Linked DNA regions of Rhinolophus ferrumequinum. The protein of the gene in region 1 purifies or fractionates together with the protein of each later gene. This does not show direct contact. Links are inferred from orthologs where the notes say so. Each region holds a gene or a part of one and is shown in the gene's direction. Other genes may lie near its edges.

Region 1 (7,909 bases):
TTTTGCTCAAATAAACTCTTATGAAAATTCTCTGCAGGTCTGGATGTTTCTTACGTCGACACGCCAAATCAGAGGTTTCCAAAGCGAGGACGTGCAACCCAGTGAAGTGCAAGATGATCCCTGCAATTCCACTCCTAGGTATATGCCTGGAAAAATTGAAAACAGATACTCAAACAAGTACATGTACATTCATGCTCATAGCACCACTATTCATAATAGCCAAGAGATGGAAACAGCCCAAATGTCCATCAACGAATGGATAAACAAATTGTGCTATATATTTACATATTCAGCTATAAATAGGAATGAAGTACTAATACATGCAACCACATGGATGAATCTTGAAAACATTATACTAAGTGTAAGTAGCCAGATAAAAGGTCACATATTGTATGATTCCATTTATACGAAATGTCCAGAACAGATAGAGCTATAGTGATAGAACACATATTGGTGGTTGCCAGGGGCCGGGTGGGAATGAGATGGGGAGAAACTGCTTTGTGGTTAAGGGGTTTTCTTTTGGAGTGATGGAAATGTTTTGGAATTAGATTGAGGTGGTGGTTACAATTGTGAACATACTAAATGCCATTGAATTGTTCACTTTAAAATGGTTAATTTCATGTTATGTAAATTTCACCTCAAAAAAGTTATTTTTGAAAAAAATGAAGTAGCCACTCTTACTGGTCTGGTGAGGATTGAATAAAGCATGGGTTCCCTAAGGATTCTAAGATGTGAAATGCTGGGCAAATAACAGCTGGGGACAACTGAAAGAAGGAATGGCCTGGGGGTCAGCAGGTGTGGCTTTGCTGTTCTGCCCCTAAGCAGTAATGATATAAGATAGCTATAATAATTACAGCTGACACTTCTATAATGTTTAATATGAGCCAGGCACTGTTACAAATGCTTTACATCATAAACTCACTAAATCCTTTGTCGTGCGGGGCGTCCGGCGGGGTCTCTGGTCCCACTCCCCACACAAAAACGCAGGACATGGTGAGGCCAAAAAGGAACACCCACAGAGCCATAGGTAGGGGAGTCATACCATTATACTCTCACTGGCAGCTGGGTTGGAGACACAGGAACCAGGAGCAACACAATTCTCAACCCTCACTGTGCCGCTTGCAGACTCAGCCACCATCTTCTTGCTAGCTCCCCCTTTTTCCTGCTAGCCTAGCCATGGCAGTTATATTCATGGCTAATGGCTCACTGGTTACAGCTGACGGCCAACTAGCTACAGCTGATGGCCATTTGATCACAGTCAATGGCTATTTACTACCTGAGCCAGCACCTTTCTATGTGAGGCCGAGAGCCTGGAAACTGCTTTTTGGGGCTCTGTCCCCACACTCCACCCCTACAGGGTCTCGCCTCACCATCTACGCGACAAGCGTCTTCCGCGAGGGGCCCTGTGCGAGGAGCCTGGAGGTGAATGCTATTTCCTGGACACAGCCAAGCTCTCTGGTCACAGCCAGGGTTTCTCAGGGCACCACCAGTACTTCTGGGCACAGCCAGACTTCCTGGACTTCTTAGGGTACCACTAGTCTCCCCGGGCACAGCCAGGGTTTCTCAGGGCACCACCAGTACTTCTGGGCACAGCCAGACTTCCTGGACTTCTTAGGGTACCAGTCAAGGTGCTTACATATTCTCGATGGCGGCCAGTCAAGACAAAATAGCAAACATCTGCCAGTTCCACTACATGGTGGTATGTTCCCAAACAAATAGTCAAGCTGTCCATTAAATTAGGGATGGAAGGCAATTCCCCATAGTCCATAGTCATTCGCCAGGGCTGTCCTGGGGGTGAGGGATGACCTTGACCTCACCCTCAGCTCCCACGGAGGACTCAGCAAGCCTTTCCTCCTGGGACTACAAGTCCTGCATCCGGGCTGCCTCAGCAAGCACTTTCCATCTCACGGGCCGCAACGATCTTCACTTTCTCTGGCCTCTGCTGGTTGGGGAACCGTTCACGTCTTCCCATCCCTCCACGGGGTTCCAGCTCTCAGGCAGCTGCTCCGCCTGGTCTTCCTGCAACTGAGTGTTCAGATGCACAAACTGCTCCACTGCCCTTCGGGGAGCTTTGGCCAACACCGTACCCTGCTCGCTGAGCCATGTGTCGTGCAGGGGATCCTGCCGACTATGCCATGTGTCATGCCGGGCGGCCTGCAGGGGATCTTGCCAACTTCGCCATGTGTCATGTAGGGTGTCATGCGGGGTATCCTGCCGACTACGCCAAGTGTCGTGCGGGGCGTCCGGCGGGGTCTCTGGTCCCACTCCTCACACAAAAACGCAGGACATGGTGAGGCCAAAAAGGAACACCCACGGAGCCATAGGTAGGGGAGTCATACCATTATACTCTCACTGGCGGCTGGGTTGGAGACACAGGAACCAGGAGCCACACAATTCTCAACCCTCACTGTGCCGCTTGCAGACTCAGCCACCATCTTCTTGCTAGCTCCCCCTTTTTCCTGCTAGCCTAGCCATGGCAGTTATATTCATGGCTAATGGCTCACTGGTTACAGCTGACGGCCAACTAGCCACAACTGATGGCCATTTGATCACAGTCGATGGCCATTTACTACCTGAGCCAGCACCTTTCTATGTGACGCCGAGAGCCTGGAAACTGCTTTTTGGGGCTCTGTCCCCACACCTTACAATGCTAACAGGTGGGTACTATCATGTTTCCACTACAGATGAGAAAACTGAGGAACTGAGGTTTGAATGACTTGTCCAAGTCACAGATGAGGAAGTGGCAGAGTCCAAATTTGAATTGGGGCACTTAGCCTCCATAAACTGGTCTCAAACCCCAGGCTCTGTAGTAAGGGCTTTCCATGTTTTATCTCATTTAATCTTGAGAGGCAGGTATTACTGTTGTTAAAGGAAAAAAAACCAAAAAACCACAGGCCCCAAATGGTATCACTCGTGCTAAAAGCCCATGATACAAAACCTAGATTTAATACCTGATCTAATTGTAGTTTCAACCTCTCCCAGAACATAATTAACCAGTCTGGAATTTTCTGGTCAAGCACCTGTAAGGTCATCTGTCACATAGGCCCTCTCCATCCCTCATAGAAAAAAGAGGCAATCTGCATGATAAAAACCCTTGCCCTTCTTGTTCCAAAAGATGTCCAGCCAGAAAATAATCCTTTTTTTCCACTAGTAACTCCTCTTCCTCACGGTTTCCTATAAAAACCTTCCTTTTTGTACAATCCTTAGCAGCTCCCTTCTAGTTACTAGATGAGATGCTGCCTGATTCATGAATCGCTCAGTAAAGCTAATTAGATCTTCAAATTTACTCATTTGAATTTTTAGTTATAATGCCTATTAAAAAAAAAAATCCCCTCATGGCTCATTCGTATTTAATGCCTTCATATTTCCCCGGCATTTATTTTCATGTTGGTCCACATACTCCTCTCATTATCTCATCGTGCTTCACTTCATTGTTCTTTATGCCGCGCATATTACTACCTATTATTTCCACTTTATTTTGGTCTCTCATCACTAGAAGGCAGGGCTTTTAATAATTGTTGATTTCCCAATACTCAGAACAATGTGTGGTACACAATAGGCTCTCAATAAAAATTTAAATGAATGTTGCACACTGTAGTGGGTAGTTTTGTGTGCCTGTGTTTGAATAAGTAAAATTATACTGTACATGTTCTTTTTTTAAAAAAAAATTCAACGTCCTGTATTAAAAAAAAAAAACAGTACATAAACCTACCCATTCTTTTTAACAGATGGATGATAGATCTTCCATACTGTGGAGGTAGCACTTTTATTTAACCAGCTTCCTATTTAATTAATCCACATTTTCCCCAGTGTACGTCTAAGGCATACAATATTCCTAATAAACATCTTAGTACATACCTTTTTGTGTATACGTGTACATATTTCTCTAGAATTAGTGCCTAGAAGCGGAATTGCTGGGAGGGTTATAACCATTAAAATATCCATAGATAATGCCAAATTGCCCTCCTGATGTCCATTTCTGCCAGTGCTCAACGAGGGTACACAAGTTTTCATATACCTTGGACCAGACTGGATATTATGAGTCTTTTCAACTTTTTGCCAATCTCATGGGGGGAGAAGGAACCCCCAATTTACAGATGAGAAAACTGAGGCTCAGAGAAGTTTAGGGATTTTCCCACACAATCAGTAAGTGGCGGAGTCGCGATTCGACGTCTCCTGTGTCCCACTCTGGAGAGGATGAGCCAAAGCTGGACAATGTTCTACGCTGTGCATCCTCGGGAATTTCTGGGTCTTGTGATGCTGGCAGGCTTGCCCTCCTCCCCTCTCTAGGCCTCAGACCCCCTTCGAGGCGGCTAACCTCGGCCCTTCTCCACTGCCCACCGCCTCTCCCCAGCCTCGAGCCTACAACCTCCGGGCTCCGAAATGGCGACCAGCTAGCTCGCGAGGCCACGCCCCTTCCCTGGGAGGCGGGGCTGAATTCAGGCCGGAGCGATAGATGCCGGAGCCAAGTTTGAAGTCGGCTGCCAGGCTCGCGCAGAAGCAGACAGCCGGTGGCTCTTCAGGTCGGGAGGAGGAGCACCGAGTGGAGGGCTCGCTTGCCGGGGCCGCCCGAGAGTTTCTTCATCGCGGGTGCTGGGGCCGCCATCTTAGATGGCGGGAGTAAGACGAGAGCGAGCTTGAGACGCGCTCCTTTCCTGCTGCTCTCTTTGGGCCCCAAAGAGGGCCAGCTGGCCGGGCTTTGGGGCGTGTGCCCTGAGGCTCGGAGCGCGAGTGCGACGATGCGGGGGCTGCCCGGGGCCCCGTCCCCTGGGCTGGGGACGCGCTGAATGTGACCGCCTCCCGCTCCCTCACCCGCCGCGGGGAGGAGGAGCGGGCCAGACGCCGCTGCCGGACGACGGGACACGGAGGCGGCCCGGCTCTTTAGGTAGGCGGCTGGGCCGGGCCCTGGATGCTGAGGAAGCCGTGCGGTGGGGCTGAAGGGGCCGGATTCCCTGGTGGCCCGGCCTGGACGGTGCTGACGGAGTGGTCCCAACGGCTGCTGGGTGGAGGGCCCGAGCCAGGCCGCTGTCACCCCGGTTGGCGCTGAAGGGCGGGGGGGCCCCAGGACTCGGTGTCATGGCCGGCGAGCCGAGTTCCCACATCTCCACTCTAATTTCCTTGTGTTTCGGGGAAACGGGCCAGCGCCACCCCTGTACCTGGTGCACATTTCTCATATTTTGGCAGTGGGGAAATCCGCCCATTGGTGCCCTGTATCTGTATGTTGTCACTACCTTTTCTTATGGCCGCGGAGTGGGAGACCTGAGCTTGCATCTTCTCTCAAGGTCCGTCACTCAAGTGACACCCTTTTTTAGGGAAGACGAGAGAAATCCGGGACGAGAGGAGGAAATGGGTCACTGCTCTACAAAGGCATAGGGGCCTCGCCTTGGGTTTCAGGACTCTGTGGGTTACTAATGAAAGGTTTGGGATGCTTATACTGACAATTGGCCTCGGGATGGATGCCTTGGAGTGAAGATCCAGGGCTTTCTTTTGTGTAGAGTGAGAGCCGCCAGGACGCTGCAGCTGCAGAGGCTTTGCAGCGCAAGGCGATGCCCAGAGAGAGGAGTTTGGACATCGGGAGAGGGGAGGCGGCTGTGTTCATTCATTGTTCTCTTTCCAGCGCTCTGGGTGTGCCCTCTGGTATTCAGTCTCTGGTGGGAAGAATGATAGGATCTCCTGTGTCTCCTTGAGATGAGACCGGGTCCTAGAGGATCACATAATCTAAGTAGGGGATGAATTCAGGGCACGTTCTTTTAGTATTTCTGTGTGCCTTTTCCTTTGTGGGCTTAGTGGAGGGAGTCTCTGCCCTGCGTTGGCTCCCAGGGCGTGAAAACAATGCGCTGTGATAAGGATGGACTTACCAAGTGTTGTGGGAATTGGGAACCACTCGTTTTTCCTGGGGGAGTTGAGGAAGCCTATCCACTGGTGGGGACTTCTGCGCCGAGTTTTGGAGTGATGAGTAAGTAGTCACCAGGTGAGGAGGAAGGGAGAGCATTTTAAAGGGAGGGAACAGCTGGTACAAGGCTTAGAAACATGCAGCGGTTGGAATGAGTTTGGGGAGCAGCAAATAGTTTGGGGTGCAGGAAGGAAGTCGTGAGAGTTCAGGGTCTAAAAGAAAAGTTGGCTAGCTTGTGGAGGATATTTGTTGAAGACAGTGAACTAGTTGATTTAATTTGGATTATTTTAAATGAGTGTTGCTAATTTTTTTTTTTGCTGATAATTTATTTTCTTCTTTTGATGATATTGAAGCTGATATAATTGAAAATATTTACTTTGTTAAACCCAGGTAACATTTTTGACAAGTGCTTTACACAGCGGTGAATGAACTGAACATATTCCTAGGGATTCTTGCAGAAGATTTTTCTAAAGTTACAATTGCTCACAAAATTGTTGACTTTATAAATGTAGTGTACTAATACTGCATTTTGAATGGCTGTTGACAACAGAACTCATGCTCCCCAGTCATACAGAAATTGCCAGATTATATAAAACATCTGAAAAAATGTAGAATGCAAGTGGGTATTTTTAGTTTAGTATATGTGTTTTGTATAGTAAACTGTTTCTTTGGATTGATTCCATGGATTCCAATTCTGTATCAAGTCTTTAGCTCTATGAACATAATTTCCTCCAAATAGCCGTATTGTTGTGATTAATGCTGTGCTAAAGTGGTTATTGTGATATTAACAGGCTTTGTTTAGCAGTTCCTAAATCTTTCTTGGGTTGTGATGCTTCTATACCACTGAAGGACATTAAGGTTCTTTTCAGACTCATCAATCACAGGTGTCAATCAAGTGGTCCCCTGTCTGGAGGGGAACAGCCCATCCCAGAGAAAAATAAAAACTCCAGACCCCCCCCCCCCCCAAACAAAGGGCCTTGAGCCGCTCTTCTTGGTGCTCAGTCCATTCCTAATTCTTTGGAGTGTACTATCTCTTCTAGTAAACTTTTTTCACTTAAAAAAAAAAAAGATTCTTTTCATGGTGACAGAATGGGAGTAGACTTTGAGTGGTGAGCACACAATGTAATATTCAGATGATGTATTATACAATTGTACAACTGAAACTTATATAATCTTATTAACCACTGTCGTAAATTTAATTTAAAAAAGATTCTTTTGGCTTGTTTTCACCCTTATCACCTCAAGGGCTAAACTGTTTAAATTGCAACAGAAACATTTGACCCAATTGATTGAACACTGGATACTTGAGAAAATAAACCTGTTACTGTTTCTGTTGTAAAAGCTTATCTTTTAGGTATGTGGTATTTGTGATATAAATAGTAGTGGAATTGCTTAGTCTTGATAAACTTTTGTCAATAGTTGAAAAAATGGTTACGCCTTCAGAGTAGAAGGCTTGAGTGAAATACATTAGAACATATTTTATGGGATTTGGTTTAGCAGAAGAAAACAATGAAAAGCAGATTAAGCTGGTCATTTATGATGAAAAGTATCTAAAAGGTGAAATGGAGAATGGTTAAACATCAAGTGTTGTATTACAACTGCTCTGATGCTAGTTGCTTTTAGTTTAAAACATGCCATTTGTGAAATTCAAAGTAGGTGATTTGCTCTGAAGATTAAACAACTTGGAAGTTAAGTTTGACTTTTCCAGAAGCACTAGATTACTCATTAAATGGAAAATATAATTAATAACTTCAAATTACTATTTCAAGTAGTCTGTTAGTAGTAGATGTATTATTCTACAACATTTTAATTTCAGATAAAACTTTGTTGGTATTCTGCCTAAAAACAGAAAAATGCTACATGAGGGAGTGCTTTTGTTTGCATGTTAGGAACATAATAGGCCATACATAATAATTCTGGTCTTGGGAGGAGCTTGTTAGCCAAACAGCATGCCTCAATGTTGACTTGCAGAGGAGAATTTTAAATATTGCCTTTGAAAGGCAGTGGACTAATGTG
Region 2 (7,612 bases), on another chromosome or scaffold:
ATCCTTCTTGTGATGTGAGATGATACAATACCTATGTGATAAGACGAAGTAAATGACATGGGCATTGTGATGTAGCATTAGGCTACCATAAGGGTTACTTGAACACGAACACCGTGCTACTGTGACAACAGATCTGATCACTGAGACTAAGTGACTAATGGGTGGGGAGCGTCTACAGTGTGGAGACCCTGGACACAGGGATGGTTCACATCCCAGGCAGGATGGAGCAGGACGGCATGAAATTTCATCGTGCTACATCAGAGATCTTGCACACGCAGGATGGTGGCTGCCCCCAAGCCAAGATAAAAGGCCTCATAATGAAACTGACCTTGTTGGCACCTTGATTTTAGACTTCTCAGCCTCTAAAAAAGAGGGACCAAACACCTTAGATTTAAGGCCTCCTGCAGTCAAATGATTAATATAGTCAGAATGGATACATGTCAGTTTGCTTGAAGTTTTTAAAGTAAGGCAGTGTAAGAACATTATGTTAAGGCCACAACTACCCCATGTTAGGAGAGGAATCTTCTTAATGGAAGGGGAGAAACCTCCAGCTAAACAACCGAAAATCGAGACTAGACATACTGGTCATGGCACGAGTGACATCAGCAAATACTGCATCTGCCTATATGCACTCAGTGTATATTGCACGTCTTGTTTCTTGAAACTTGGGAATATTTGAACTGGGCAAAATAACCTTTGAACTGAGCCAAACCAACATTGTCTTACAAACAACTACTTATAAAGCCAACAGGAAAACAAACACTTGATCACAATGACTGATCACGGAGTCTCTTTCTGATGATAGACTGGTAACCAGCCATGTATAGCTAAAGAGGAACTCGGCTTGTTACCACCAATAGAAATTTCTTTTTCTATTCATGTAATTGTCCCCTTCCTTTTCTCATAAAAACCTTCTGCCTTCACCCTGTATTGGGACACTATTTGGGTTTCTACCTGAATCTGTGCTCCCCTCCCTGCAATTATTTTTGATCCCAAATAAATGTTAGTTGCCTCTCATTTGGGCTATTTATTTCCAGATTAACAGAGTCACCCCATTTAAAGTCTAATGACCTCTTTTCTTTTTTTCTACTCCAATTGAGTGCAAAGCAGCAATCACAAGCATGTTTGGGCTTTACACTAAGCCATGTCCTCCAACGTGTGATATTCTGAATCCCAGTTGCCTGATTCCCATGTAATTGTTTCCAAACTCAGAGAGGGAAACAGGAGTTCTCTTAAGCCCCAAGAAACTTGATTACAATTTTTTAAAAAATTATATTTATAAAGAAAAATTGAGATTTTTCACACAAAAAAGAAATTGAAGTAAAATAAGAAGCTGACACAAAATGAGTCATAAAATCCAAAACCCAATAAAAAGAATCAAATTTGATGGAAAAATAGTGAAAATAGATGATATAGTAATATGAAATCAATAATACAAATTGAGGGGAGGGAAGGGAAGAAAAGCCAGAAGATTAAAGATTTAATGGGAGTTCGCAAAATTAAATACCAAAAAATGTAAAACACATAGACAAGGCTAAAACATTACAAAAAATTCTGAACGTAATTTAGTGGTTACCAGAGGGTAAGGGGGTTGGGGGGTGGGAGATGAAGGTGGGGGGATCAGATATATGGTGATCGAGGGAGAACTGACTCTGGGTGGTGAACACACAATGTAATTTACAGATGATGTGATACAGAATTGCACACCTGAAATCTATGTAATTTTACTGACAATTGTCACCCCAATAAATTAATAAAAAAATTCTGAAGTACAGTGGCAAAAAAAAAAAGAGGAAAAATAGAAACAAAATCACTGGAAACGAATAGTGACTGGTTATCAGAGTCCTGATGGCTTAGACATCCCCACCCAGGGCAAGAGCGGAGTTCCTCCTGAATATAGGGAGCTGAGGGGCAGGCACCCTCACTCCAGGAAACAGCTAAAGGCCATGTTTTCAGTTGGCACCTAACATGAGTCCTGGGCTTTTGAATCAAAATAGCAGAAAACTAGTCTCCTTGGTCTTTTGCAAACTCCCGGGCAAACCCTTTTGATTACTTTGTAATATTCTCTAGTTTTAGAGCATGTACATCTGGATGAAACGAATAGAGACCACACCTCCCAATTCTTTGGTGCCCTCTTCTGGACACCCATTTGATCATCCATTTGTTCATTGTACAATTATTTAAGACTCTCCTCCATGCCATGCCTAGCAGCTGAGATTATAATTTTGTCATTACCACTGTGATCAGTGCTATAAAGGAGAAGTTATGACAATGACTAACAGCGAATGTCTTAGGAATCATCGAAGGCTTTCTAACAAAAGGGTCTTTTTACTGAAGTAGAACTAACTCAGCCGAAAGGGAGTGGGAGCGCATTCTAGGTAGAGAGAAAGCAGAGGCAAAGGCCCTGATGTGGAAGAGGTGAAACAGACAGGATGAATATTCAGGCTATTGTGAGCAGAAGACAGACTGGAAGGCCAAGGAGAAGACACTTGGGAGATAAGCAGGGACCAAACCTAGGCCTCGAAGCCACGTTAAGCATTTGTATTTATTTTCTGGGCAAAGATTATTTGGCCTATTATTTGGATCCAGTGGAAATTTCACCCTCTGATTCTATAACTATGAAGACAGCTTAACCCAAGCAATACAAAATTAATGAATTTTCATCTAAAAATCATTCTTCTTGGCAATTAAATCAATTCAATTTCTTGATAAATTACCATACAGATTTTAATTGATTTCAATTCTTTCCATTTCCTTTTTATTTAAAATTAATTGTAAGATCAATTTTTTATTATAAACTTTCCATGGAAATTTGATTCACCAATTGTTTCATCCTCAAGTTTAAATTTCCACGGTCTTTATCAAAATTCGATTCCTTAGTCAGTTTTTATTAATTAAATTTCATCAGGTGTAATTTTTAACCCCTTTCAGTTTTATTTTGGGTTATAAATAATACTCTAAGTCAGGTAAATAAGTTTTATTTCTTAGCTAATCATGAGAAAATCTTCAGTTGTTCTATCATTGTTCAAGACTGACCTATTGCAGTGGTTCTATCATTTCTCAGTCTTAAGACTCCTTTACTCTTCAAAATTATTGATATTCTCAATAGCTTTTATTAATGAGGGTTATAATTACCAATATTGTTTTATAAACCAAAACTGATATTTTTAATATTAATTTTAAAAAATAACAGTAATAAACTCATCACATGATAACATATTTTATTAAAAATAACTATCTTTCAAAAAAAAAGAGAAGAGTGGCATTGTTTTACATTTTTGCAAGTCTCTTATTTGGTTTAACAGAAGATAACTGGTTTCTCATGCCTTTTACATTCAAACTGTTTTAATCACACACCTTCTGTAACCTCTGGCAAATTTTCCACTGAAACAATGAGAACAAATGTCCCAGCATTATTATGAAAATAGTTTGGTCCTGGAGGACCCTGAGAGGTCTTAGCACACTTCAGAGGTCCCCAAACCACTTTGAGAACCGCTGATTTCTTTGAATGCTTCCCAATAGGTGGTTCACATACCATTTGAGGTGGCAAAAAAGCACTTTTTTATTTTAATAATTATGTATTTTTTGAGAAAAAAGTGGAAAAAGTTATAACTGATGATAGCCATGACACATGTGATTATTCCCCAAAGCACACAAAATCTGTCCCGAAAGAAAATAGTAATTTGTACTGTTCAAGTCAAAGAACAAAAGCCGAGCCAAAACGTTCTGCTTCATGTTTTCTGTATTTTCCACAAGAAGGGATAACTTTCACATTGTGATATAATTCTGTAAAATACTCCATTACCATTCAGTCTTTTTGAAATCAGCCATGTGTTGATGTGGGAAGACACACCGATCAAGTTTTAAGATTCTGGAAGAGTAAAGGGATTTGTATTTCAAGGCAAAAGCAGAAAAAAAGGAAGATAGACAGTGGTTAAAAATGTGCATTCTGTAGTCAGTCTGATCTGGGTAGGCATTCTAGCTTTGACATTACTAACTCTGTGATGTTGGACAAATTATCATTTGTAAACTTGTTTCCGCTTCTACCAAATGGAGAAAATGATAGTTAACTCGTTAAGACTGGCCATTAGCTATGATACTGCATGGAAAACAACACAGAGCCTGGCACATAGGAGCTGTGTAGTTATCCTCACAGACTAATTATTACTCTCACGTCCCCAGCACTTCTTACTAGTATGACCAAGACAGAGCAGACGCCCAACGATAGATTTTTGCGGATGAGGGCAGATGCTCTGCTTCGGGATAAAAGGAAACACCTGCCCTGATGTTATGGGTGGGTCTGGAGGAGTACCTGAAAATTAATATTAGGAGGGAGGCGAGGCTTCCAGGTCAGAAATGTCAAAAGTATAACGTCCCAACCCCGGAGTCTCGACAGTGGGGACAGTCGGGAGCGAGCCTCAACAACCTGGGCCGCCTGCGCATGCGTAGACTCGAAGACTGAAAGCGCGCTCTACGATCGGTTCGATCGATCGACCTGATCGAGGATCGTCAACTCAGTTCTGGCTGCGGGAACTGCTGTATCTCGCGAGGCAGCCGGGAAAGGGGCAGGTCTAGCAGGAGAGAGAGGAGGAGCGTGGGGTCACGGCACGCTGCGTTCCCAGGAGGCTGTGCGTGCCCCTCGCTGCTTCTGGGATCTCGCGATCCGGCGTGTGAAGGGCTACCTGCTTACTAGTCATGGCGCTTCATGTCCCCAAGGCCCCGGGCTTTGCCCAGATGCTCAAGGATGGAGCGAAGGTGAGGAATGGAGAAAGGGGGAGTAAGGTGGAAGAGTCGGCGTAGCGCTGCGGCGGCCGCAATGAAGGAAAAAGGCCTCCTAAAGGGCCGGGTGTGACCCTCCACCCTGACAGCGGTCTAAGGAAGAGAAGATTCCAGAAAGGGAGGTGTTGTCTGGAGGTCTCGGACACAGACGCCCGCGATCATTTCTGCCCTTGCCCGATCCTAGGGAGCGTTGAGAGGTCGGAGGCGGCGGGTTAGGGATGAGGCCGCAGGATTCGCTTCCTCCGTTAACTAGCTGGGCAAGCCTAAAACGTGCATTTCTCCTCCATCCGTAAGACGGGGCGGATTACACTCCATCCTTCGAGAGGAGAGGAGAGGAACAAAGGCCAGTTCTTGGCGGCTTCTTTTCAAGAAGAGCCTTCTGAGAAACCGGGCTCCTCATTTACTTCGTAAAAGTAGTGCGTTATAGTAGGACAGATAGACAATCCAAATGGGTCCTGGGCCAGACTTAGGTTAGTTACCTTGATGTAAAACTTAGCCCTGGAGGTCTTGCTTTCCTCACCTTTAAATTGAGGGGATTGGACCAAAAGATGGTACCTTTAAGTTGTAACTATCAGACTGACCTGTGTAATCCACAGGGTAAGTGACATCCTGGCCTAAATAAAACTGCTTTGTTTTATGGCCAGACCTTGAATGTAATTTAAAGAGCATGATTAAAAAAAAAATATTTTAATGCATTGCTGATAAATTTGTCTCTTGGGCTGTTCCAATAGTGGTCCTTTTTTGTCCTCCAAATTTCCTGTGTTTAATTAAGGAAGTATAGGTCAGCATGGTTCAATTTTAGGTAACAGTTTTTGGGAACTAGTTTCTTGTGGGCGGGATGCACTTTGGCATACCGTGAGTATAAATAAATATTAAGGTTTAATGTAAATGTTGATGAAACCGCTTTGCTGCAAACTACATCAACTACTGCTTACTTTATTTAAAAAGTCAGGCTGAAAATTTCGTAGGCTTTATTCTGAGACAGAAATAATGACTGATCAAGCAAAAAGGATAATTTCACATAACGATGAGAATATAAACAGCACTCTAGTAGAAAACGACAGGAAGTAGCAAAGTCTGCCACCAGAGCAACATGAGTCCGGAGACTTAGAGCAATTAAATAAGATGTTCATGAAAGAACTCTTAGGTCAGTGCTGAGTGGCGCAAGGAACCTGCCAAGATTAAAAGGGAAAGGGTTCCAGGCCGAGGGCCCAGTAAGTACAAATACCTTGAGGATGGAATGAGTTTGAGCTGTTAAAACAGTAAGAAAGGTGATGGCGGAAGCTTACCAAGGGAAGGCAAGGAAAGTAAGAGGTGATTTTAGAGGAGATGTAGCTAAGAGCCAGAACGTGTTGTGTCGGGCCTTGTAGCCCTGAGGAAGGATTTACGATTTATCCTAAGAGTTAGTGGGAAAAGCATTGAAGGGTTTGATGGGATCTGATTTCTAATCAGATGGTTGTTTCTCCGAGAATGGAGGTGAGGTGGGGAAGAAGCAAGAGTGTAGGGCAGGGGATCAGACTGAATGCTATTCTAAGAGTCCACCCCTTCTAAAGAAGTGATTATTAACCTTGTTTGGATCACAGTTAGTTTTGTGAGTGTAATAAAAGCCACACTTTATGCTCTAGAACAGTATTGTCTGACAGAACTTTCTCTGATGATGGAAACGTATGTCAGCATTGCCCAGTATGGTGTCCACTAGCCACATATAGCCACTGGGCGCTTGAACTGTAGCTAGTGCAATTGAGAAACTGAATTTTTAATTTTAATTACATAAAATTGAAATAACCATGTGGCTAATGCTACTATGTTAGGCAAAGCAGCTCTAGAAAAAGGGTCCGGAGAACAGTAGGCTCATGAAACCTATCTGAGGTCACAAATAAATCACGTCTAAAAGAAGTCCAATATAAAACTTGAGAATTTTAGTGCTGTGAGCGATTCATCAATTTTTTTCAGTATGTACACATTGGAATTGTGTTGCCATTCAAGTCTGTATACTTTAGTCCCTAAACATTTGGGGGCAGGTACGTTAAATGGGAATTCCCTGTGAACATAGAACTGTTAGCGTTATGATACTCAGGCTCTAACACAATTAGAAAAGTATTCATACCACATTGCAACTTGTAGTCAGAAAGTACTGATAAAAGGTATTTTTACCTGAAATAAATCACATGCTTTCTCTGATTAATCTTAGCACTTTTCCACTACATTAAAAAAAAAAATTTACAGGCTTTATGTTTGAATGTGTAGATAGGTACTGGTGGCCCCTAAAAATGTCATGCTTTGTTCATTAAACTAGTGAGCAAATTTATGGATCATTTATGAATACCAAGCACCATGCTTTACATACACAAATCTTACTTGATTATCTCAACAGTCCTGTGAATAGGTACCATTATTACCCCCGTTTTACAGATGAAGAAAATTACTGTGTTTCACTGTCGCGTCTAATAAGAAGTTCTTTTACAGCATTTTTCAGGATTAGAAGAGGCTGTGTACAGGAACATACAGGCTTGCAAGGAGCTTGCCCAGACGACTCGTACAGCATATGGACCAAATGGTAATTTCTAAATTAATCTTTTAAAAGTTACAGTAGTAGAATTTCATGTACTAGCTCTTTCAAACTTACTGTGAGAGCATTATATATAAATTGAATTTTGGCGATCACGTAGTATGGCTTTGAAAGTTATTTCGTAGTTCAATGACACCAGTACAGTGCTTCCAGTTTTTAATCAGCAATTCAGATATCTTTAGAAAAATAGGAATCCAAATGTTACTTTATGGTTCTTTCACCATCGAGACAGTGCCTAATGTTCAATGCTGAACAGTTCTTTTG
Region 3 (7,989 bases), on another chromosome or scaffold:
TGGTCCTTCCCATATCCTGATCGCTGTTCCTTGAACCACTGCCCAATGGTCCCAGCCTTCACCATCCTCAGCCACTGACTCCCCTGATTTTACCCTAGAGTTTGTCATTCATAACTGTACCGACCCCATTATTCCCATTCTCCAGCTATCCCACCTCCTATCTTTCCCTCTGAGTCCAGTAATCCTTCCACCCCACCGATCCTACAATTTATTACTCCTTCTGGGTTTTCACTGTCCCCCACTCTCCTCATGTCCTCATTTTCCTTCCTGACAGCCTAGATTCTGTGATGAACCATTATCATCACGCCCTTACACGCACCTCAGCACCGACATGAAAGGCAACATGAAAATTCTGTAAACTGGACCCAGCTCCAAACACATTAATACTACGAATAGGCCCTTTTCCAACTATATACCTGAGTTTAGCTGCTCATGAAAACTTACACACACCACCCCATTCTGAAATATGCCCCTCCCTCAGCACCTCAACCCCTTTGAGTCTTTATTCTTTATTCTGTTCACATGGCTGAGTCCAATTCTCCACTCGCTCAATGCCTGCACCATGCCGCTAAACTTGCCTGGAGAAAACCGCATGAGATCCTCACCAGTCCCACCTCAGAGTCATAATCACAAGCCTACGGAGGGTCCTTAATGTCTCCTGGAGGTCATACTGTGTTTTCCTTATCTATTCTCTCTGCTGAATGGCTGTTTCACATCTTCGCTCTCCTCCAGCCCAGTGCCTCCTAATGACCCAGCTTTCCATTGCACTGAGAACATAGTAACAATTGAAAGAGAACTCCAAGCTCTCACCACCACGTCTACCACTTACCTGGAACCAGACCCACAGATCTAGTTTCTCTCCTTGTTGTTATGGAAGAACTGTCTCCCCTCTAAGCAAAGTCCAACTCTTCCCCTTGTGTGCTGGATCTCCTCCCATCTCACCTACTCAAGGACATTGCTCCAGCAACTCTCCGTTCGTTTTCCTACGTCATCAGTTTGATCCTCGCTCCTAAATCCTTCCCACCAGCAATCAGAAAGCTGGTATTTCTTCTAAACATACTGTTATTTGTTCCATTTAAAAACCGAACAAAATAAAACAAAACCTCTCTTGGCCCTTCTGCCGCTGCCGCTCCATTTTCTCCACTCCTATATGGTAAACTCTTTGAAAGGGTTTCCACTCCAATTTCTTCCCATTCTTTCTTGAACAACTCCAGTAGGTTTGTGCACCCACTACCCCAGCAAGCCTGATCCCCACATTGCAAAGCCACTGGCCAACATCTCACCGTTAGCAGCATGTGACATATGTGACTACTCCTTTCTCCTTGAAACAGTTTCTTCACCTGGATTCGAGAACACTGCACGCTCCTGGCCTTCCTCCTCCTTCACTGGCTTTTCTTTTGAGTCTCATTTGCCGATTCATTCTCATCAACACCCCTCCACCATCTCTGAACATTAGAAATTTCCAAGACTCGGTCCTCGGTTCTCTTCTAATGAAAACTCATGGTTTTCATATCACATATATACTAATTGCTCCCAAATATATATCTGTACTCCAGACCGCTGCAAACTCCAGAGATATATATCCAACTACCTACTTAATATCTCCATTTGAATGTCTAATAGGCACCTCAACATATCTAAAACTAATCTTTCAATATTATCCCTCAAAACTTGTTCCCCCAAAGTCTTCTCTGTCCTGGTTTTCTAGTTGCTCAAAACCTTGGAGTCATCCTTGATTCCTAGCGTTTTCTCCACCCCATTTCCAATCCATCAGGAAATCCTTTTAAACTATTCTCAAAATATAGGCAGAATCTGACTCTTCTCACTATTTCCACTGCTACCACCCTGGACCAAGCCATCTTCATCATCACCTGGGTTGTTGCAAAAGCTTGTAAGTGGAATCCTTGCTTCTAACCTCAACCTCTTCAGTGTAATATGACCCTTTAGAAATCTTAGACTATGTCATTTCTCTGTTCAGAACCTTCAATGGCTGCCCACCTTTATTAGGGTAATGCTAGTTCTGTAAGAGACAAACCTCAATATATCAGTGGCATAAAATAACCAGTAGAAGACCATTTCTCACTCACAAAGTCTAAAAAGGGTGTTCCTGTTCAGTGAGTGGCTCTTTAACGGGAACCTGGGTTCTTTCCATCTTGTGACTCTGCCAACTGCACTACATAACTTCTAGGGTGGCCACAGAAAGAGAAAGAGCTTGAAGAATCACACACGGAAGGTTTGTATGGCCAGTACTGGAAGTCGTGGACATCACTTCTGCCTTTCTTCCTTTGGCCAGAACTCAGTCCCATGGCCACACTGCAAGGGAAGTTGGGAAATGTAGTCCAGCTATATTCACAGGCTGAAGAGGAAACAGTTTGGTAAATAGCCAATCTCTTCCACGCTATCTCATTCATAGCCAAAGTCCTTACAATGGTCCAAAGGCCCCACAGTGCCCCTCTCCCTCTTACCCCTGTCCCTGCTGCTATTATGACCTCATGTCCTCTCCTCTCCTCTGTTGTTATACTCCAGCCACACTGGCTTCCTGCTGCTTGTCAAACACTCTAAGCATGTTTCAGCTCACAGCCTTTGCCCTTGTTCCCTTTTTCTGGAATGTTCTTCACCACTTTCAAATGTTGACTCCCATATCGCTTTCTTCATGAGCCTTCCCTGGCCACCCTTTCTAAGATTGCAACACCACTTCTCATAGTCCCAACATTCCCTTTTCTCCCTTCTGCCTTATTTTATTCCTTAGAACCTGTTACCACCTCTCATTCTACATATTTTGCTTTTTTGTCCTGTTAATTGGCTACATACCAGCATATGAGCACTGTGAGAGAGTTTAGTCCATTTTGTTCACTGCTGTATCCCCAGTACCTAGAACAGTATCGGGCACACAGGGAATAATATACTCATTTGTGGAGTGAATGTTCAGTAGCATCATATGAGCAGAGCTGGGATGCCTGATGTCAGACTTTTGAAGTTGACATTATTGGGCGGCCGGTTGGCTCAGTTGGTTAGAGGGCATTGCTCATAACACCAATGTTGCCGGTTCAATTCCCACATGGGCCAGTGAGCTGCCCCTCCACCACTAGAGTGAAAACAACGGCTTGACTTGAAGGCGATGGGTCCTGAAAAAACACACTGTTCCCCAATAAAAATTTTTAAAAAATGAAGTTAACATCATTATAATTGGATTTTAAAATATAGAAGCTTTATGTGCTAAAAACACAGGTTTATATTCCATTTGTGTTGCAAACATAGTAGTCCCCATTTAATATTTGTTTTAATTTTATGACATGAAAATAAATAAGTGAATAATTTTCTGTGTTCCTCTTAAATCAGGGACATGCATTCTGTTCTCTTAACACTATTTAAGCATTTACTTTGAACTCAGCAGTAAGCTCAAAGCTGTAGATACAAAAATGAATAAGGCAGATCTCTAACCTGGAGCTTAGTCTGGAGAAGGACATATGGAAAGCCGTGTTTTATACCAAGATTTGGCAAACTATATTGAATATACAAAGTACTACGAAGACAAATAAGGGAGGAATTATTATGCCTAATGGGGTCAGGAAAAACTTAAAGAGCTAACATCTGAACCAGAATTTCTATAAACTGGAACTTCTATTGGCAGAAAATCTGGAAAATGCACTTACTCCAGGTATAGGAGGTCAATTGATGATGAAAGACCATAGACAGGTGAAAGGCAGGCTATTAGGGAACACCAAGATGATGGTGGCCAGAGAGCAAGATGTATGAGAGGGGCTGGTGGGAGGTCAAGTGGAAAGATACACTGAAGCCAAAGAGTAAAGAGCCTGCTGTAGGCTACTCCACCATGGCGCTAGGGCTGAAGGGAAAGAAGTTGGGGTTGTTCCATGCAGTTAGTGATTGATACTGTCGAGGTAAGAAACATCCAAACCTGTAGAGAATTTTTATGAGTTTATCTGAGCCAAAATGACGACAATTGCTGGAAGCAAGATCTCAACAGATTAAGAAAACGCTCTGGAGAATTGCAGTTGCGCGTCGTATTTTAATATATTAGAATAAAAAGAGGGTTAGATGAAATTCAGTGGTGGTAGATTAAGGGGTCAGGAGAAAGCAAAGTGGGGGAAATCTATGGGATTGGATAAAAAGGCAAAATGGAGCAACACGGACTTCCTTTACGTTGGTGGGTACAGGATGGCTAGTAACATTTACTGCCCATAGTGATGGCATGCGGGGAACAGCATAATGAGGGGCTCAGTGGTCTCATGCTCTGGTGCTTGTGGTTGTGCCTTGAGAGGTCTGGAAAAGATTACTCTGACATTTAAAGGGTATGTTATCTTAGATGCAAACAGATAATAGGCTCACTTAAGGTAAAGACAGACCTTTGTCAAGGAAGCTACAGGCCTACAACTTAACTACCCACCATGACCCCCTTTTAGTTAGGAATTTTTATGTTCATACCATACTTTGTGATTACTTTTGGTCCGAGTTTATAGGGCCTGCCAAGCAGGCCTCCCCTGAGCTTGTCCAGCTTCGCATGTGGCCCATTTTTCCTTCATGCTGCAGCCAGATTATGAAGGTGCCAAGGGCATGAAGATAACTAGCGGAGTAATCCAAGAAGCCCTGCAAGACACAGTCACGCGCCCTGAACCAGGACGTGGCAGCCAGGCTGCCTCGCCCACAGCCGCCCCGAGTAGGGGGCTGGGGCCCGCCATCCCAACAGGACCCGGGACCAGAGTTGGGCGGGAATTCGCCCACGCAACTAGGCGCGCTCGGGGACGTGGCGCTTTCCAGCCAATGGGGGCTACGCGATCGTGCGACCAATGGCTGTCCAGCGAAGATCTGCGCGAGTAGCGGGTTTGTTGCTGATTGGCTGGGAAGCCGCCCGGTGAGGCGGAGAGGGGCGGGGTGCGGAGTCGCTTCCGGTTGGGAGGTGCTTGTGCGCGTGAGCGGAGCCGGTGGGTGAGCTGCTGCTGCGGCAGCCTGGGCTGTGGGCGCTACCGGGAAGGGTAAGTATGGCGGTGCTCGGCCTTGTCTCCAGAGCCTCCTCCTCGTTAGCTCTCCTTTTGTCCTCAGTCTTCGCTCCCGGCGCGGCATGGATCTCCCTCGTTCCCGGCCTGTGTTTCTGCTAGTAGTTCGGGGACCTGGGGCCTGAGCCTGCTCACGACCCCGTTGGCCCTCAGCGCGCAGCCTGGGTTGAAGGCCGCCGCTGTCCTTCCCGCGCGCTCTGGGAAGCGGCTCGGGTCCCGGCGAAGCCCGGCTCCCGGCTTTACGTCCTGCGGGTTTCTGTTTTGCGCCTGGCTTGCGGACGTTCTCGTCCTCGGTCCCTGGGCCTGGCCACTCATCCAGTCCCTCGGACTAGAGGGTCATTCTTGTTTACCTCCTGAAGGTCGGAGGGCAGTCGGGTAGTGTAATTATAACAGCTCCCTGCCACCTCCTCCTCACGGGCCTGCTCGTGTCGGCCAGCCCCGCCCCGAGGCCACATCCCTAGAGCACGGTGCATCTGCCAAAAAAGTCGCGTTCGCTGACTTTTAGGGTGTAGAAGAAACGGGGGGGGGGGGGGCGGGAGTAGAAAGCATAGAGACACTAAGTGATTTTTTTAAAACAAAGTTTCTGTAAGTTTCTCTTTTTAAAGAGAAGCCGACTGTTTGGAGCTTCCGTGTATAGCTGCATGCTTAAGTCAGCGACGGAAAATAGTTTTCAAAGCTTTACTAGGGAATTGTATTGTCACCCTCTTTTGTTGCTCCTAGCCCCTGACCCTGGTTCTGATTTTTAGCACGCCCCCAAAGAAACTATAGCTGCCCTGATGAAGACTATAGTAGTGAGGTTTGCAGTTTCGAAAGCTGCTTGTGCATCCAGGCGAAAGCTCCTTGGGTCTCCTGATAAAATTTGAGGGCCTTCGATCTCAATTCCTAAGTGTAAAAACTCCCAGAATTCTTTGAGAATTGAATTTCATTCACTTCCTGGCATGGACAATAAAGTCAACATGAATGAATCATAAGTAAGGTTGCTTCTGGTTTGTTTTTGTCGCTGGGAGGTAGAGAACTGTGTCCCCTCTGATAAATTAGTCTTTGCCATAGAATGGAAGTTGACACAAGACAAACCACGTTTGACCTCCTTCAGTAGGTTCAGTGAACCAAGTACCAAATGACAACCGTCACTGCGTCACTGAAGAATTTATGTAGTACTGGATAATGCAAATGAGGGTCCAGAGGCAACCTGTAAATTATATTTGTGTGTAGAGAGGATGAATTTGCTTAGGCCTAATCTGAGTTTTACAGTGATCAAGGGTCTTCAATAGGATCCACTTGAGAGTCTACTGGGAGAACCGGGAGCTGACAAAAATGAATTGGGTATGTCTGAATGGATGGTACTACTCGGATATACAACCTTGAAATCAGCTCATCATCATCACTCTCAATATAATCATTGTTTGCTACCATCCATCCAGTGATGTGTCAAAAGATACTTACTGCTGGTATTTTACGTACATTGCACCAGTGTAGGTCATCAGTACATTGATAGTAACACAGTTTCTGTGCCAGGGGTGTTGGAAGGACAGAGATGTAGCCAAGGGATAACTGTTGGAGATGCTTGCTAGGCCATAAGATCCTAGGTCCTCTCTCTATGAACTCTCATTAAATATGGATGTTGTTGGTGTTGCAATTTATGTATGAGTTAAGACCGCTGAAATAACAATTTGCCTGTTGCTGGCTGATGGCCACATCCGGTAAGGGGAGTTGGGGGTTGGGAGCATCCACAGGCAGGAACTACGTTGCTGCCAAGTACCGTCCAACTAATCTAGTGGACTACATTGGTATATAAGAAATGTAAGACACTGTATTAGGAACTGTAAAGGGATATTGATTTATATTAGCCACGATTCCTGCTTTCCAAAAATGTATGATCTGTAGGGGAGGTAAGGAGACAACTTGAAGTAGCCTCTGATCACTATTGTGGAGTGGTAGAAACAAGTTTTATACAAGTTTAGAGGAATGGGTACAGATCACTTCCAGCTGGAGCGATAACAGGAGATAAGTCTTTTCATCTAGCATTTAAAAATTATTTATAGACATCTGGCACTGAAGGGAGGTTGAGCTAAAATAACTACCAAATTCTCTAGGACTTTATCCATGCTACACGTGCACAGCAAAATTACAACTAGAAACCAAGGCCCTTGTCCCTACATTTTGCATAGCATTCCTATGGCAATTAATGATTCATTAAAGTTTCATCAGCCAAAAGGAGACTTTTGTCCCTCCCAGAATTTCTAGAACTTTTTTTCTTAAACAAACATTTTCACTCTGTAGCCACAAAAATTTCAAGTTTGTACTGGGTTGCTTTGGTTACAGAACTAATGAAGCCTGAGTAATACTTCCTCATTCTCAAAGCTTTTCTTCTGCAGCCAAATTTTGCTCTTTTATATACTCAGCTGTCTTATAAATGTATGTCCTCAGTCACACAAATAATTAGAATGTATTAATGAACTAATGTAAATTTACTCCATCACTAGGGAAACATTGAATAAATGGTTTGTCATCATACCTTTTATCAAATCATGAAGGATGACATTATTACTTTAATGTGACAATTCATTATTGGTACTCGTAGCAGAGTTGGTAAGTGCAAAATGTCAGATAGATAACTAAATGGCTTTAATTTCGTGTAGTTAAGTGACTATCAGACTGTTCCCCCCAGTCCACAACTGAAGTAGACACAGAAGCAGTGAGATCCTGCTTTTGCTGCATTAGAGAGGAATGAATGCCTTTTTTCCTGACTGTCCAGCTCAGAGAACTGGAATTTTATCACCACACCCATTTCTCCCACTTGTTAACATTGAGCAACGGGTCTTTGGTCAACCAGAATAACTGTAGGATCACTCCGTGCTAATGTGCTTGAGAAGCTGAATTGCATTCAGGCACCTACATTTCCCTGAAACAATTTCTCTTGAGTGTTCTGTGATCAGTGGAGTTTTACAAAAAGATAACTTGAAGGGGAGAAATGGCA
Region 4 (7,596 bases), on another chromosome or scaffold:
CTGGTCCCTGGCAATGTTCTACCCCAATTGTACCTTCTACTTTCTAGAAAATAGTCTTGGTGGCCTTGAAACTGGAACTATAAAAGAGTCACATTTTTACCCTCCTAATATATCTAAATCAGCTATATCTCTCTCCCCTTGACTATCCTCGTCAAAGCTACCTTATCTTTTACACTGTTGCAAATGAACACTTTAATTTTGTTCTTCCTCACGGGCTGGAGTTCACTTTTAAAAATGTATATCTGATCACATTACCTGTTGATTAAAAACCTTTATATGGCTTCTTCGTCTTTGAGATGAAACAGCAAATCCTTAACATGATACATAAGTTCTTTCCGTTCTGGTGTCATTTCCCCGTCTCCTTATCGCTTGCTCTATGGTTGGGTCAACACTGGGTTTCTTTCAGTTCTTTGAATGAGCCCCCACACCTCCTTGCCTCTGGGCTTTGGGCATCCTGGGCCTTCTGCGTGGAAGTCCCCTACCCTTTACTTGATCACTAGCACTTTAGGTCTCAGCTTACGTGGGTTCCTTACTTAGGAAGAACTTCTTTGACCCCCCATGGACTGTTAGGCTCCCCTTCTTTTGTGGCCCAATATCCATCCATATGCATCTGCCATCATAGCAGTTCCCTTGTCGTAGTTCTTGTTATTTAGAGAAACTAGAAATTCTCCACCCCCAATTAGGCCAACATATAAATATGTAATGCAGTGTGGGGATGGGGCCCACTTCTGTCTTGGGCTCTGTCTCTGTCTGTTGTACACCTACTTGGTTGCTGGCAGAGGCAGGCCTTGTCTTGCTGAAACCTTGGTCGTGGTCAAGAGCTGTGCTTGGCCTATGTTGTGTAATAATGAAAGTTAAAGGGACGGTGTTCATTCTCCCACTTCTCTGCATGTAAGTTTCCCCCAATAAATCCCACATTATAGATGTACCATGTGGCCTTGGGGGGTTTGTCTGTGACTCCTTGCATGACAGTTAACTTTGAATACTTGAGTAAGGTGGTGTATCTGCTAGATTCTCTTTTGTAAAGTTCTCATTTTTTAAAATAATAATTTTATGGGGAGATGCTTTGAAACTATATTACTATCTCATTCCTTGTCCAACTTTTACCCACTAGATTTAGTAAACATTGATATTTCTTGGCTGATGATTGCCAAATGGTGATTTTCCAATTCCATTATTCCTTCCAAAGTTATCAGTTGAATTCTACTCAAAGGAAGAGCTGTTTCTTCTTTCGATTTATTTATTCATTAAAAAAAATCAGTGTAGATTCATGGATATATCCATATGCATGGGATATATTGTATTGTCATAATTTATTTTGATGCTCAAAAGTTGTCTCAGATTTGGCCAGCAGGAGGCCCTTCAAGATGACTGCTTTGTCTTTGAATTGTCTTCATCATTCTTTGAGCATTTTCATACTCTCTGGCACAAGATGTTCTAAGCTCATCTATATGATACTTTTACATTTGTATTTATTTAATAGATATATATATATATATATATTGAAAAACCTTGAATTCACATCGACATCTCAATTCCCATCCAATCACTCAAGCCTTCTTGCTTTTCTTCTTTTTGTATTTGTAACCCCTTCTCCAAAAGTGAGAAAGCTGGCTGCTATTATCCTCAATAGTTTTTCCTTTGTGTAGCCCCCCTGTATAATCAGTCACCTGACTTTACAGGATGGCTGTCCTTCCTTCCCTTTCTGGGCTCACACCCCGACACTGGCCTGACTTCCTAGATAAATACGGGGTGGCTGTATTCTTCAGTGTTAGTTGTAAAGCAGAGAAAAGAAGTTAGTAGAGAGAGATGCACAGATGAAGCAGAAAACAAAGGAAAAATGTCACAGAAGGACATGAAGAGTTATCTTTCGGGTTCCTGGAAGCTTTTCAATCACTGGTTGTAGGCCCTAGCTATGATGCAGCTGTATTTCTGCTCCTGGCTTTTGTGAGAAACTCCTACATCCTTATGATAAATTCTTCCCTTTTGGTTAAGATTGGTTTGTTACTTGCAAACAGAGAGTCTTAAACAAAGGTATATTTATTTATATCCTGGCTTGTTCTACCAAAAAAAAAAAATGAAACAAATTGTGGAATATAATCAGGGCAAAGGGAAAATAAAAATTAGCCCACAGAAAATGCATACCACATGGAACTGTACTGCTGCTTAATATGGGCTGAAATATTAGCTCTAAGATTTCTAGTGATCTAAACAAAGTATGAAACACTATCCCTTACAAGATTTTATGTCTCCAGATTTAAAATAAACCAGCAACTGGAGGAGGAATAGATACACCATGGGAACAAAATAGAGTCTAGAAGTGAACTCTTCAACAAATGGCCAATAAATAGCAAACTGTGTAGCCATCTGGAAAAAAAAAATTCGATCTATACCACATCCCTTGTATGGAATCAGTTCCAAGTGGATCAATGTTTAATTGCAAAAGACTAGAAGTCTAACTGTCCATCAATAGATAATTGGTTAAATAATGGGATAGCCCTGCAATAAAATGTTATGGGAATTGGAAAAAAAAAAAAAAAAGCAAGGAGCTCTGTATATATTGCTATACACATATCTTCTTGATATATTATGTAATAAAAAGCAAGGCACAGTAAATGTGTATGGCATACCACTATTTTTGTAAATTGAGGAACGTCCTGGGCTTGTACATGCATAAAGAATTGCTCTAGAAGGAGCAAAAAAATAGTGGTTACATGTTTGGGCATGGGGACAGGTGTCGGGGGAGAGATAATTTTTACTGTATACTTTTTAATGGTTTCTGATGGACAAGCCACATAGTATATATGTGCTTATTTATTTAAAAAAAAAGTTTAACTTGATGAAAATCAGAGAAAGCTGTGGATGGAGAAGCCCAGCTAGTTTTGACAGATTGGGAGGACAGCAGGAGGGCCTGAAAGTGTTAACCTGCCCACAAATTCCCATTGCTAGTGGACCCCCATACCTGTTCCCATCCTGAGATGCCATCCTCCCATGAAGGATTATGGCTCCAAAGCCTTTCTGTATACTACTGGAGAGATCTATTTCCCACTGTGCTTGGAATATAAGAAACATTTTCTATGGAAGTCTGCCAAGAGCATTCTGACTATTTCCTCATTTTACCCATGAACATTCTATGTTTAAGTGAAACCTACAAGCCAATTTACAGTAAATATATGATCAAAATTTGAGCACAGTAATGACTGAGCACATCAGCTCCAAGCCAGAATACCTGGGTTCAAATCTCAGTTGTTCATTTATTAGTTTACTTGCTGGAGGTTTTCATTTTAATAGTGTGTATGTGTGTTGGGGGCAGCAATTACAGCACCTACCTCACAGGGTCCACGTAAAGATCACGGGCTTATTTACACCAGCCTGTCCAACAGTAAATTATATAACGCGAGTCACATGAAACGTTAAAATTCATTCGGCACTCACATTAAAAAAATAAGATGAAACTGATATTTATTTCAATACATTAAAAATAATACCACTACGACATGTAACCAACATAATTATTAGATGTTTTACATTCTTTTCTGGTAAAGAACACATACATCTGAGTTCGACTAGCACGTCTCAGCAGAGAGTGGCCATATTCTAAGTGCTCAGTAGCCACGTAAGGCTGGTGGCCGCTGTATTGAAGAGTGCAGCCCTAGACAGTGTCTAGCGCGTAGTAGGTGCTGCTAAGTGCTAACTCCTGAGAGCAGAAGCATGGTTGCTGTTACCAGACCTCCTCTGGAGTAAACCTGTCAGGTGAGTCCTCTGGAAGAGATGTCTACATTTTGGCATAAATGAATAGGATTTTCTTTAAGCCAGCCACTTACTTGGCCTCCATATTTTAATTCACAGCTGTGAGGTATGGTACACGGTTGCAACCTATGCAAATGAACAATTTACATAAGTGGGGCCACTGTCCCCATCTCAGTTATTTGGTTATCCCAGCTCCGGGGTGTGGGGAAGGAGGTGGGGTCTGTCGTCTCGCCTAATGCGTTGGGCCCCGCACCACTAATGCGGAGCAAAAGCAGGCAAGTGGGAAGGTCCTTGAAATAGGGGTTGGGAAGTGGAAAACGGACGCCGAGCCCTCCGGAGAACAATTACAGCTGTGGGGCAGGGCCACGTTCAGAGGGCGGTGGGTGCCAGAAAGGGCAACAATGGAGGCGGGCGAATTCCATGAGCCAAGAGGTTCTGCCAAGTTAAGCGAGTGTCCGCAACCTCGGCGCGCAGGCCCACGAGGGTCGCAAAGGCGCGGGGCCGCGGCGGTCGAACGCCCGGGTCCCGGCCAAAAGCTGGGCCGCAAACGCCGCCTCGGCCTCCGCCGCCGCGTCCGCTGTCTCCTGGCTCCTGAGTGGCTGGGGGGCCGGGATTAACCTTTCACCGCCACACTCTGTCCAATCACAGGCTCTCTCTCATGCCGGTGCGGGACGAGCGGAGCGTGGGGGCGCGGAGGGGGCGGCGCGGGCGCCGGTGGGATTCTCCAAGCCGCGGTGCGCCGTTGCCGCGGGCCGTGCGCGGGCTGCGGACGAGCCGGGCGCTGCGCAGTCTCCGCAGGCGCCGGCGGGAGGGGTCGAGGCGGAGGCGCGGCGCGGCACAGGCTGCTCCAGGCCCAGGTGAATGGAGTAACCTGACAGCGGGGACGAGGCGACGGCGAGCGGGAGGAAATGGCGGCGGCGGCGGCGGCGCCGGGCAGCACCGGGAGGCCTGGGCTGTGACGCGCGCGTCGGAGCGGGGTCCGATGGTTCTCGAAGGCCCGCGGCGCCCCGTGCTGCAGGTGAGGCGGGCTCCCGCGGAGCCGCTTTGTGTCCGGGGCGGGGAGCGGCTCCGCCCGGCTCCGCGCCCGCCTCGGCGCCCGGGCCCGCGTGGGCGTCCCGGCCCTGGGCCCGCGCTCCGGCCTGGCCCGCGGGGCGGAGACGGCGCGAGCAGATGGCGCGGCCTCTTCTGGTCCCGGGCGGCGCGGCCTGCGGGGCCGGCGTCCACCCGCGGGGCTCTGCGCCTCCCCCGACCCTGGCGCCGCTCCTGATTCGCCGCTTTGGAGGGACTTTGTGCGGTCGCTCCGGCACTGGCTGGGGACGCGGGCGCCTCCGCACGCGGAGGGGAGCGCGCCCTCACCGCTTGGCCCTGCCCCAGGGGTTTGACAGGTCCGGGTACGCGCACGGAGTGGTGCGGGATCTGCAGCGGGGTCTCGGGAGCATCCTGGGACCTGCGGTGGTGGGGGCCACTGCGCTGGGCCTCAGTGGACACCTTGGAAAGAGCTGGGAGGGGAGGAAGCCGGGCTGCGCGTGCTGGCTGGAAAGCGCGAGCCTTCGGGGCCCTCCCGGGGAGCAGTGGGAGGATTGTTCATGTTTATTGGCAGGTGACCAGGTCTGGGTCCCAGGGGGCGGGTGGCCGAGGCCATCTTTCCACCCTTCCCAGGTTTTTGTGCCAGAACGTCTGGATCCTGCAAAGGGTTTTTAATCTTTGGGAAATCAGTGTATGTTTTAAGTTAGCACATCAGATTTATATAGATTACCTGGAAAAGCTGAGCTGCCCCAATGGCTTTGCCCGCAATACAGAGCTAACAAACCACGTAGTGTATCTTTAACAGCCTGAAGATTTGCAAAAACAGGGATGAGTGGGGAATCCTCGCTGGATAGTGTTCAGTCAGTGCTTTTGTGAAGAAAGTCGTGCTTAAAAGGGAGGCGTTACTGATCCGTATAAGTCTGAGTGTTCTTATGACTAGCGCGGTTTAAAAACATTCATCCAATTAAAGGGTATTACTTTAAAGTGTGTGTTTCTTGAGGTGCTTTGAATTTTCCGAATTTTTACAGTTACGATTTTCAGTTGTCTTCTTGTTGCTTAGTTTTCAAGTGCAGCAACTCAGTGACTGGAAAAAGGCAGAAGTAAGGAGTTAAGTAACTTGGAAAATTATATATTTTCAATGTGTTTTAATAAAAGGTTAACTAAAGTGGAACTGTATTGGTATAAACATTAAATTTTCTAAATAAAAAAAAAGCGATCTTACCAAGAGATCCAATAATTTATTACATGGATGATGGTACATGATTCTGAATGAGGCTGCTAGTGAATAATAACTTTAGTATTGCTAATATCTTTAGGAACTAGGTTCTGGAATAATCAGTTTATTTTGCCAAGTGTTGTCTTTAACACTAGCTACCTGTGGCACGAGTGTATTGGATGTAATATATGCCATATCTATACACACAGTTATTTTCAAAACTTCATCTTCGGCCATATTTTATAAAACTTTGTAGATTAGAAACACTAATGATTGCTTTTAATATGTCACGGAATAAGCATTTAAATGGTAATGTTGGCTTACAGATTTATTCATGGCATCAAAATGCCGTTTTATGAAAAGATGTATTAGTTAAATTTAATTTGGGGAGAAAAGTCTTCCTGCAATTATTTTAGTAACGGCTTGCTCTACTTTTTATTCTACTGTCTCATCAATAAAGATTAATTAAGTTCTGCCTTCTGTATAATGCTTGTGGCCCCGTGTATGAACTGCATAGTGAGATTGCTTTGTGATTGCTGAGTTTATTGTCTTGGTTTTAGAAGACGTTTTATTTTGATGTGGCTCATGATCTCATTTGATAGTGATTTTGTGGTGTTACATAGTGGGTGGTACCTGAAGTGTAGTGCCACCTTCTAGTGCCACCTTCTAGGAAGGATGATTTTTATGGCATTGCGATACTTATTCCCTGCCACTGTCTGACATGTGAGATGCTTGCTTCATTTGAGAAAGTAGGTATTGCACAGTCTCTCACTTGTGACTTTAACATCCTGTGGTCATTACTTGTGGCAAAGGAGAGAAGGGGAGCATTTATTAATAAGAAGTGCCTCCTTATGTGCCAAGATGTTGCAGGTGCTTTTATATACATTCTCGTTTAATCCTCATTGTGGCCGAGATATTGTCCTTATTTTACATGCAAGGAAACTAAGACTCAGAGATAATTGCCTCAAGTTATGAGTCTAGAAGTGGCAGAGCCCGGATTGTCATGGTTTGATTTCAGAATCCTTGCATGTGTGCTCTTTTTGTTGAGTAGCATTGCTGTTCCCAAGTGGATTTTCAGGGAAAAACCTGTATAACCTGTAGTTAAGTCCTTAGTTAACACTTGTTGAATGAATGAAACTGTGAAACCTTAAATGTTCAGGTGATCTCTCTCTGAATATTTCAGATTTTCCCCCTTTTTTGTGGTAAAATATACATGACATTTATTATTTTAACCACTTTTAAGTGTACAGTTTTGTGATAATTAAGTACACACGTTGTTTTGCAACCATCACCACCATCCATCTCCAGAACTTTTTCATCTTCTCTTCCTTAACTGAAACTCTGTATCCATTAACATAGTCTTCCCTTTTGCCCTCCTCCCAGCCCCAGGCAACCATCATTCTACTTTTTCTTTCTGTGAATCTGACTGCTCTTGGAACCTCGCATAAGTGCAATTATACAATATTGGTCTTTTTGTGACTGGGCATGTTTCACTTAGCATCTTCAGGGGTCATTCATTCAGGATTTATTCATGCTGTAGCATGTGCCAGGATTTCCTTCCTTTTTAAGGCCAAATAATAGTTCATTGTGTATGTATAAACCAC

What was found.
Region 2: the proteins of RAF1 (region 1) and CCT8 purify together in Homo sapiens (affinity purification with mass spectrometry; 4 studies listed by BioGRID and IntAct, with this or other methods). This does not show direct contact. The link is inferred for Rhinolophus ferrumequinum from reciprocal best matches to the Homo sapiens genes RAF1 and CCT8.
Region 3: the proteins of RAF1 (region 1) and CALU purify together in Homo sapiens (affinity purification with mass spectrometry; 3 studies listed by BioGRID and IntAct, with this or other methods). This does not show direct contact. The link is inferred for Rhinolophus ferrumequinum from reciprocal best matches to the Homo sapiens genes RAF1 and CALU.
Region 4: the proteins of RAF1 (region 1) and DICER1 purify together in Homo sapiens (affinity purification with mass spectrometry; 3 studies listed by BioGRID and IntAct, with this or other methods). This does not show direct contact. The link is inferred for Rhinolophus ferrumequinum from reciprocal best matches to the Homo sapiens genes RAF1 and DICER1.

The regions. Positions count from the first base shown.
Region 1 is NC_046300.1:41,836,727-41,844,635, forward strand, and holds the start of RAF1 (RAF proto-oncogene serine/threonine-protein kinase), read left to right. Parts: upstream 1-4,752; 5' UTR 4,753-4,885; intron 4,886-7,909. UniProt on the Homo sapiens protein: Serine/threonine-protein kinase that acts as a regulatory link between the membrane-associated Ras GTPases and the MAPK/ERK cascade, and this critical regulatory link functions as a switch determining cell fate decisions including proliferation, differentiation, apoptosis, survival and oncogenic transformation.
Region 2 is NC_046285.1:95,826,393-95,834,004, reverse strand, and holds the start of CCT8 (T-complex protein 1 subunit theta), read left to right. Parts: upstream 1-4,593; 5' UTR 4,594-4,695; coding exon 4,696-4,755; intron 4,756-7,245; coding exon 7,246-7,336; intron 7,337-7,612. UniProt on the Homo sapiens protein: Component of the chaperonin-containing T-complex (TRiC), a molecular chaperone complex that assists the folding of actin, tubulin and other proteins upon ATP hydrolysis.
Region 3 is NC_046309.1:17,384,546-17,392,534, reverse strand, and holds the start of CALU (calumenin), read left to right. Parts: upstream 1-4,866; 5' UTR 4,867-4,991; intron 4,992-7,989. UniProt on the Homo sapiens protein: Involved in regulation of vitamin K-dependent carboxylation of multiple N-terminal glutamate residues. Seems to inhibit gamma-carboxylase GGCX. Binds 7 calcium ions with a low affinity.
Region 4 is NC_046289.1:8,184,562-8,192,157, forward strand, and holds the start of DICER1 (endoribonuclease Dicer), read left to right. Parts: upstream 1-4,588; 5' UTR 4,589-4,607; intron 4,608-4,629; exon of another isoform or gene 4,630-4,768; intron 4,769-7,596. UniProt on the Homo sapiens protein: Double-stranded RNA (dsRNA) endoribonuclease playing a central role in short dsRNA-mediated post-transcriptional gene silencing.